Coturnix japonica: one gene and its partner. The protein of the gene in region 2 purifies or fractionates together with the protein of the main gene of each other region. This does not show direct contact. Links are inferred from orthologs where the notes say so. Each region holds a gene or a part of one and is shown on either strand. Other genes may lie near its edges.

Evidence for each region.
Region 1: the proteins of SLC7A11 (region 2) and CD44 purify together in Homo sapiens (affinity purification with western blotting; 3 studies listed by BioGRID and IntAct, with this or other methods). This does not show direct contact. The link is inferred for Coturnix japonica from reciprocal best matches to the Homo sapiens genes SLC7A11 and CD44.

Annotation. Positions count from the first base shown.
Region 1 is NC_029520.1:5,854,092-5,857,905, forward strand, and holds part of CD44 (CD44 antigen), read right to left. Parts: intron 1,895-3,814; coding exon 1,772-1,894; intron 553-1,771; coding exon 474-552; intron 1-473. UniProt on the Homo sapiens protein: Cell-surface receptor that plays a role in cell-cell interactions, cell adhesion and migration, helping them to sense and respond to changes in the tissue microenvironment.
Region 2 is NC_029519.1:25,381,533-25,385,972, forward strand, and holds the start of SLC7A11 (cystine/glutamate transporter), read right to left. Parts: upstream 2,968-4,440; 5' UTR 1,591-2,967; coding exon 1,320-1,590; intron 1-1,319. UniProt on the Homo sapiens protein: Heterodimer with SLC3A2, that functions as an antiporter by mediating the exchange of extracellular anionic L-cystine and intracellular L-glutamate across the cellular plasma membrane.

The DNA of each region.
Region 1 (3,814 bases), on a different chromosome or scaffold from region 2:
TGCTGCTAGGGTCTGATCCACGATTTCATACTCACACCCACACGCACTGTCTCTCCTTGGGTCTCACTCCCAGCTGCATGGCAGCCCTACATAAGAGATATTTTCCACTCACAGCATCTGGGATGTAATTTTTAGCATTGAGACCGTTTCAGTTCTTGTCGGTTGCAATCTATAATTAGTCATCCTGGCCCTGTTTGTCTGTTTCTATGGTGACTCTGGGTATGAGGAAGGAAACAAAGGCAGCCTCTGCTTTTATAAGCATAGCAGAGTGAGATATAAATCAATAAGCTGTGCTGTTCAGGGCGTGTAACTCCAGAGCCACTTAACTTTAAAGAAAGCTGTAGATAATTCTGTCTCACCGTGTGCCTGATATCTTTCTTATTTCACATGGCCTCTAACAATATGGTGTCAGTGCTCCATTCTGTCACCCCCATCACACTTCAGCGTGTTTGGAGAAGTACAGGGTAACTTACCTCCTCCGGCTGTTAACGGCAATGCACACTGCGAGGATCAATGCCAGTGCCAGGAGAGCAGCAACGATGATCAGCCATTCTGGGGGTTGATGGAGGGAAGAGGAATGTGTTAATCCATCCCACGTAATTTCAGAGTTTCATGGACACTCAAGCATTATTTAAACTTTAAGACTTTTTTCTAGTTTAAGTGGGTATTTCCTCATTTTGCAAATTAAATACATTTTCATCAGCCGTGTTGCCTACATGGCCAAAAAAAGTGCTCATCTATGCCCAGGCCAACTCTGATGTAATGCCTGTCCAATGTTAACATATACAAGAACTGTAGTTTGGCTGACATAAGTGTAAAGCTGTTGTATCACTGATTTATTTCAAGAACAGGAGAAAAGGCTGAGACATCTGCAGTCCCAGGTGCAAAAGTAGGATGGATTGAAGGTAGAGTGAAATGTCTACATTCATTTTGTCACTTAAAATCTTAAGTTAAGGAGCATTTTTAGGGAAAACTTTAAAACACAAAAATAAAAAGGAACTGCAATATCATGAGGAGGTAGAACTGGAAGGGATGCCTGGAGATCACATAAGCTGCTTCACTCCGGCAAAACAGAGAGAATAAAAGCACCCCTGAGAAATGTTCTATTTGCTCTTAGCATTTTTTAAAAATGGAAATTTCACAGCAACCTTCCCCATAGCCCATTCTTTATGCACGTCACACTACGCTTACCTTACCAGACTTTGTGTCTTTCCCTGTTGTTTCTGTATGATTCAGTGCCTTGAACTGAATACAGTACCTCAGCTCTGGACTTGCCAGATCTACACTGAGTGGGATAATTACTTTCTCTGTCTTAAAAATGACTTTACTGTTAATATGTCCCAGAATATATTTGCATTCTTTTGCAATTGTGTCACTGTGTTGGCTTCTTTCTATTCTATTCCATTTTAATCTGTAAGCCCTTTTCTACAATGCTTGTCTCAGGTATAACTTCACACTGAACATTTTCACATATATGGTGCTTTGCATCTACCTTCACCAAACTGCCTCAGATTGCATACCCAAGTATGAAGATTATTTATCTCTAAATCCTGTTCTCAAAAACACACGACTTCTCTCTTCTAGATATTACTAGAGTATTCTATGAGTTACAACATGCTCTGTTTCTCAGACTGTTAGTGAAAATGCTGAACATTACCTGATTCAGAACAAAACCAGAATAACGATACTTGACCTACATTTCCGTCTGTTCAGTTCATATTCATGTCATTCTGTTCCTACAGTACTAAAATACATGACTTTGGAAACCTACCTGGTACCTGGGCTGATCTTGGTTGTGACGTTACAGTTGTTGTTGTGGACTCTCCAGGGAAAGGAGTAGGTTCACCATCTTCCTGGTATGGTCCCTGATCACTATTTATATTGGATGTAGACCCTAAAGAACAAAACCACCTGTTAGCCCAAATATCCTTTCTGAGTATTTCACAGGGAGGTACAAAAGCTATGACTTTTCTTATAAAAATATATATGTTTCTAGAAAGTTCACACAGAATCACACACAGGCTATAAACGTTGCACTCATCCACACTATTGCTAACTTCCATATTCTGTTAACAAAGCTTATGGCTGTAATCTTTCACCTTTTACACATTTCATTTTTGATTGTGAACCATGAACCAATATGCAATGACAGTTGCCTAGAAATTGTCTGGAAAGAGTGCAAAGACTTCTACACATTGGTGACTTCTTGAAGAGGTTGCTATTGCGTAAGTCTAAGGTCCTGCCTGCTCTATGGGGAAAAGAGAACGAGAAAAGAGTAGAGAGAGAAGACTGAAAAGGGTCAATAAGAAGAAATTTCAAAACTTTTAATTTTATTCCTATATAGGATAAAGCTGAATTTCCAAAACTTTCCTGCTTTCATAAAATAGAAGTACAGTTCTCTGCATGGTTTACATTTGATAGCTAAGTATAAGGTGGGACCTTAAAAATACAAAATGTTTTTCTTATTAGCAAAAATTCTCTCTGTAAACATAGAGATGGTTCCCTTGGCACTTTAAAATAAGTTTTGTAACTCAGATCTAAGACAGAATTAAATCTTAAATCCAAATGAGTTCTTCTAGTCTCACATATTTTCTGTGACAGTTGAACGGCTTGAAATCTTATGTGATGACAGTAATATTTCTGGCCCACATTGTTGCCACATGGGTATTCCATGTCTAAAATTATTTGCATACAGTGTTTCACATGGGTCTACAACTTTTTTATCAGTACAAAAAGCAATATTACAGATCTGCACCTCTCTGAAATCTTCTAGACCCTGATAGAGCAAATTAGACACTGTAATCAGCTGCGAAGTTCTTTTTCTTTAGCACGTATTGGAGTTCCCCTCTGTCCAGCCTTTCTGATCTCATTTCCTAAAAGCAGCTGGCAAATACAAACTAAGAAGTATATTTTTCCCCACTGCTGAGCATAGCCAACAAGTAGTTCATGAATGTTCCAGATGTTTTCATTATTATTAACAAGAAACTTACTGACTGATGATTTGTTCTGCGATAGTTTATCCCAGTGGACAGAGCATTAATTTAGCAACCAGAGGACTTGATCTAGCCTCCAAGAAAGCAGATCAGGAGGACTGTACTGATTGCCTAACTGGCAATTCAGTGGATATTTTTTTAAGGTGCTTTCTGTCACCCCTTATAAAAACACTTATTAAAGAATCCTGTGCTAAAAAAACTGCTGCATTCACCATCCCCTCTCCTGAGCACTGAGGAGAAGCAGAATTTGGCCATGTCCCCTGGTGTCCTGGCTCTGGGGAAGGTGCCTGCAGTGGGCAGAGAGGGCTCCCAGTTGCCCTGACATTTCATTTTGGTGACATACTGGGTATTCTTCTTTTTGACAGTTATTTTTTGATTAATTCAGTGGACTGTTCTGTTATTCCACTGTGACATTTGGACAAAAGATCAGTCATTAGGGCAATGTCAGACCACAACTTTAAAATTGCTGTGGAGGAAAAGAAATTGAAAGAAAGCAGTACAGTACAAGAACCCATTTGTTTGCTTGGGAGAAGCTTATAGCTAGAACCAGCCAATATATTAATGAATCTTTTCATTCTGCTACAGCTGCGCAAATGAAATGGCTCTTCAACAAATGAGCTTGTTTTAAAAAATGGCAATGCTAGTAATTCTCTTTGATTGTATTTTTAAAAAGCACAAAGAGTAGATAAGTAGGAAAACAAAAGTGAATTCACTTTGAAAAAGGCCTTCAGAGCAACCCATACAGGTTTTTTAATCTCAAAGCAGAAAAGTAGGAAACATTTTATCGAACTGTAATGTCTGCGCATTGCATTGAGGCTGCT
Region 2 (4,440 bases):
GAAGAGGTAATATCTTTTACTGGACCAAATTAGACAGATCTCTACACGTTGAGATCTGGAAAATGACTAGGAAAACCCATCTGATTTTTTTCCACAGACTTTACTTCACAGTCAGAAAATTACTGCTATTGAAGTTAAAGCTAAATGGGAGATGCTTAAGCAAATTCTGTTTTGACTGCACCTGAAGACCAGGGTCCTACGACAGAATTACAAATTGTATTTGAGGTGTTTCTATAGGGAAATTTTTATTACCGGCAGGACTTAAACATTTGGACAACAGAATATGTTGCACATTGTGCCAGTACAATTAACATTTGACCAGAACAGGTCCTAACTTTCTTGAAACGTCTGTTTGGCTTGGGTGGACTTAGCCTCCAAACACTCAATGCTGCTTTTAAGCTCAGAGCCAAGTTATACAGGGTGGCATTTGCACATTCCACCTATTAGACAGACACGTGTTAGCCCCTATTTGTCCTCCCTACCTCGTGCCAGAAAACAAGTCGCCTCTGTTTTAAATAAAGCCAATACTCATGTTAGTTCCTCCGCTTCTTTGAGATTAACTCATTAAGGAGGTCAATGGACCCTCTGTCCCCCAGGAGTCAGGGTGGGGTTTTCTGCTCTGAATGGGGCTTTGTGAACAGAACAAACCACCCGACATTCTTCAGAATGTAATATTGTTAAAAAGAAACACAGCAAAATTAGTAAAAACTGTCACAACAAACAGGCCAACAATAAAACTCATTTTACACATTTGTTTCTGCTGCATTCATCCTTGCAACCTGAACTTTTCAAGGCACACTGAGAGCAGGGAATAAAGTGAAAAGCAGTAACATGAGACAGGGGAGAGGGGCTGTTGATGTTACTACACTGCTCCCTCTCGTACCAACACAGATTACACCCAGTGGGAGTTATTCCCTGAGACCTTGACCGAGCCTCCAGGGAACCAAGTAAAGCTACCTCAACACTTGGCCCCGCACACCAGCTGTCAGGGGCCTCACAAGCAAGCTGTGAGCTACTTCTTACAGCCAGAAGAACAGCATATTATGTACAGCACAGCTAACAGCAGAAAGCGGCTACTTGCTTTTTCTTTAGGAACCCATGAGAAACAACCTGTACTCACAACCAGTGCTGACACGATGCTGGGTGACAAAGACTGTGGACTGCTGTGCCTTGCATGCAGCATTCTGCAGAGCAAAAGCCTTCCGCAGCCCCATTGGTCCTCAGGCTCCATGCTGAGCCTTGATATCCAATGGAAAATCAGACAAAAAATAGGAATAATCCACCAGCTGCCCCTCCAGACCAATTGGAAGCAGACTTACCAAAGAGCGAGAGGATGCCACATGCTGTCCAGACCATCAAGGACATGCCAACACTGCCTGTGTTCTTCAGGATCCCCTTGGGTGAGATGAAGATGCCAGCCCCAATGATAGTGCCAATGATGATGGAGATCCCCCTCAGCAGCGTGACTTTCTTCTTCAGCACCACCTTCTCTTGTGGCTGCCTGCTGTCCATGGAAGGCAACCTGCCGTTCGGCTGCCCCTGCAAGTAGCTCCCATTAGAAACTGTCATGACAGCAGCTTTCCTCACCATGCTACCGTGCCACCAGCACGCCGATGGCGAGCACAGCCAAAAAGTTCCCAGCAGCAACTCAAGGCTTTTTCCTCTCCCAGCCTCTTCCTCCGCCACCTCTTATCAGTGGGGTTGCTACTACGTGCAGGTAGAGCTCTGCTCTGCTCTGCCCTGCTGCCTGCCAGCGCTCGCAGCACCTGCACCCTCACCCTGCCCACGGGCACTGCCCTATCATTGGGAACCAGCTCAGCTTCCGCGTGGACCTGTATTTAAGCTCTTGTCGTACCAAGTTAGTCCAGCTGAATGATGATGCAAATTCTCCAGGTTTGCATCAGCCATTTGAGAAACCTCTGGCATTACTCAGCACTTTTTTTTTTTTTCTTCTCAAAGCTCAGGGGCATGTTGCACAACCGACCTGAGCGTGGTAGGAGGAACAAAGCCTTCGCAGGAAACCCAGCCCATCGAGCTCAGCACATCGCCGCCGGCACCCCCAGACACGCTCCCCAGTTTGTTACAGCAACTTGTACGCAGAAACAAAAGCCTGCCGAAACACAAAGCGTGTCGGAGCGCGAGGGGAAAAGAAATCAAACAGGATACGTCAGCTCTGGGTCTGATCCAGCTGCTTTTTCTCTCAGCTCTCTTAGTGAAAGTTCAGTGCTCAGAGCTGAACTCTTCGTCCTGCTGCAGCGGGTCAGCCTCTGCCTACCTGCAAGCCTAGGGGGACTGCCTCCACCTATCTAAAGAAAACATACAAACCCCTGTTAGCCCATGTTGCCTGGCAACACACCCAAATCAGACTCGTGAAAATCTAGGTTATTTCCCCAGAACAGTACTTTTCATACAGGCGGTGTTTCTGGATGTTGGTAGCAACTCAGCAGTGACACTTCCCCTTTGGAAACACCATCCCTGTCTGCAGATGCCATGCTCTGGCAGGAGGAGAGCTGCAGGGAGCACAGGGTCTCCGGCAACCCGGCAACCCAAGTGTTCCCTCTCACAAAGCCCCTCAGAGCAGTAAGACTGCTGGACCCTACAAACTTCTGTTTCACTGCCTGATTCCTCAAATTCCAACCTGAGAAATTAAAATCTTTAAAAGAAGAACCCTCTGCTAAAGCAGGATGAAAATCACTAGCTTTCAAGTGCTTGTCAGCTAATTAAGGGGCATGCAATATGTGCCAAAGGGAAAAATCCTGCCCAGCTTAACTTCTGCAGCTGCTCATGGCTTCAGATCAGATCAGTGCACAGAGAAGTGATTCCTGGGGTTGCTGTTTAATTGGGACCCGGGATTGGGGTGGGGAAAGAAAGCAATAAAGCGGCATTTTATCATGTGAAAAACAGGCACAGAGCTCTGAGCACAACTGTGCTTTCACATTTATTTGGGAAACGGAGATGCTGGAGTACTAAAACACTGCAGCTGTAAAATTACGGTGATTTTAAAGCCTCACATTTTCAGTTATCACTCACCTGTAATAATTTGCACCGAGGTGAAACAAGGCATGCTAAAAGCTTATCTGGTTTAAATGCACGCAGATAAAAACAGAAGGCATTTCAGCTTTTGACTGCAGACTGGCACTGCCTGTTTTCTGAACACATCCTGCCCTGCCTGCCCCAGCACAGCTTGCACCTGACCTCAGGACACACCTGCTCCTCATGCAGCACTGCTGGGTCTGAACCAAGCTGACTCTCTCAGTACTGGTCACACATGAAGCCACGAGGAGGTGTCATACTACACAGAACTGTTTTCCCTTGGTGTACATTTGTTAAGCAGTCCCTCCACGAGATTATTAATGCCTGAAGTAAATAACCAGTTCTAACCAGGAAAAAGCATTCACCACAGAAATGGACTCATGATCTTTACTCTCATTTCCGAAGGCTGCTTTCAGAAGAAACACATGACATCTTGAAACATCTAATAGCATAATGTAGTCATTCTTACCCAATGATTACCCTCTGTTTCAGTAGGAAGATGGCTCTGGGATCACATCAAAGCTCAGTGGGTTCCCAGCTGATCCCCAGGCAGCTCCCCATCACCCAGCCATCTGCATCAGTATAAGCACTGAGCAGTCAAATGGCTTTCTAATTTCATCTGATCCCTAGCCAAAAAAATGCAAAAATGTTCTGAATCCACAATTGCCCTTTGGACATCACGAGTAACACTCCCCCACACAGGGAAAAGGGTGCCTGCTGCTTCTACTAGGGGAGGATAGTGGACATGGAAAGCTTAAGACTACATAGAACTCCCACCAAACTGTCTAAAGTGTGAATAACCAAGGAGGGATAGACACAGAAAACCTTTTTTCTGAACTATTGGCAGCTCGCTCATGATTACGCTATTTGCATCCTTCCCAGTGAGCACTGCAGTGTACAGCATTTCTCTATCCTATCAATTAATATCAAACAAGTTCCTGCATTCGAAGCTTAATTCAAACTATCAGAACAGAGAATACTTATTTGGTGCTCGGGGATGGTTTGTGGTTTCCTGGAAATTTCATGAGAATCCTCTGTGGAGAATGCCCACTGCTGCCCCACAGTACACAGCATGTTCCAAACCTGTTTTCATCACCTGCAGCCCACCATGGGCTGTTGTACCTTCCCTGGGCAACCACAGCACAGCACTCAGCCTTTTTCAGAGAGCTCTTCTGAAGGTGTGGGGCTTAACTTGCCTGACATTCAAAAAAAGCCTTCTTCCATAAAAACCTTCACTGGAAGCAGAGCAAAAATATAAAAGGTACAAATTTCTTTAGACTGATGAAATTACTGGAAGCAGTGGAAGTAAAGACAGTGCTCTGAAAACAAACCTTCAGCCTCCAATGGCAGCTGGCATTGTGCATGGATTTTTATTGTTTCTCTTTGCTTTTTTCTCCCCTCCCTCCC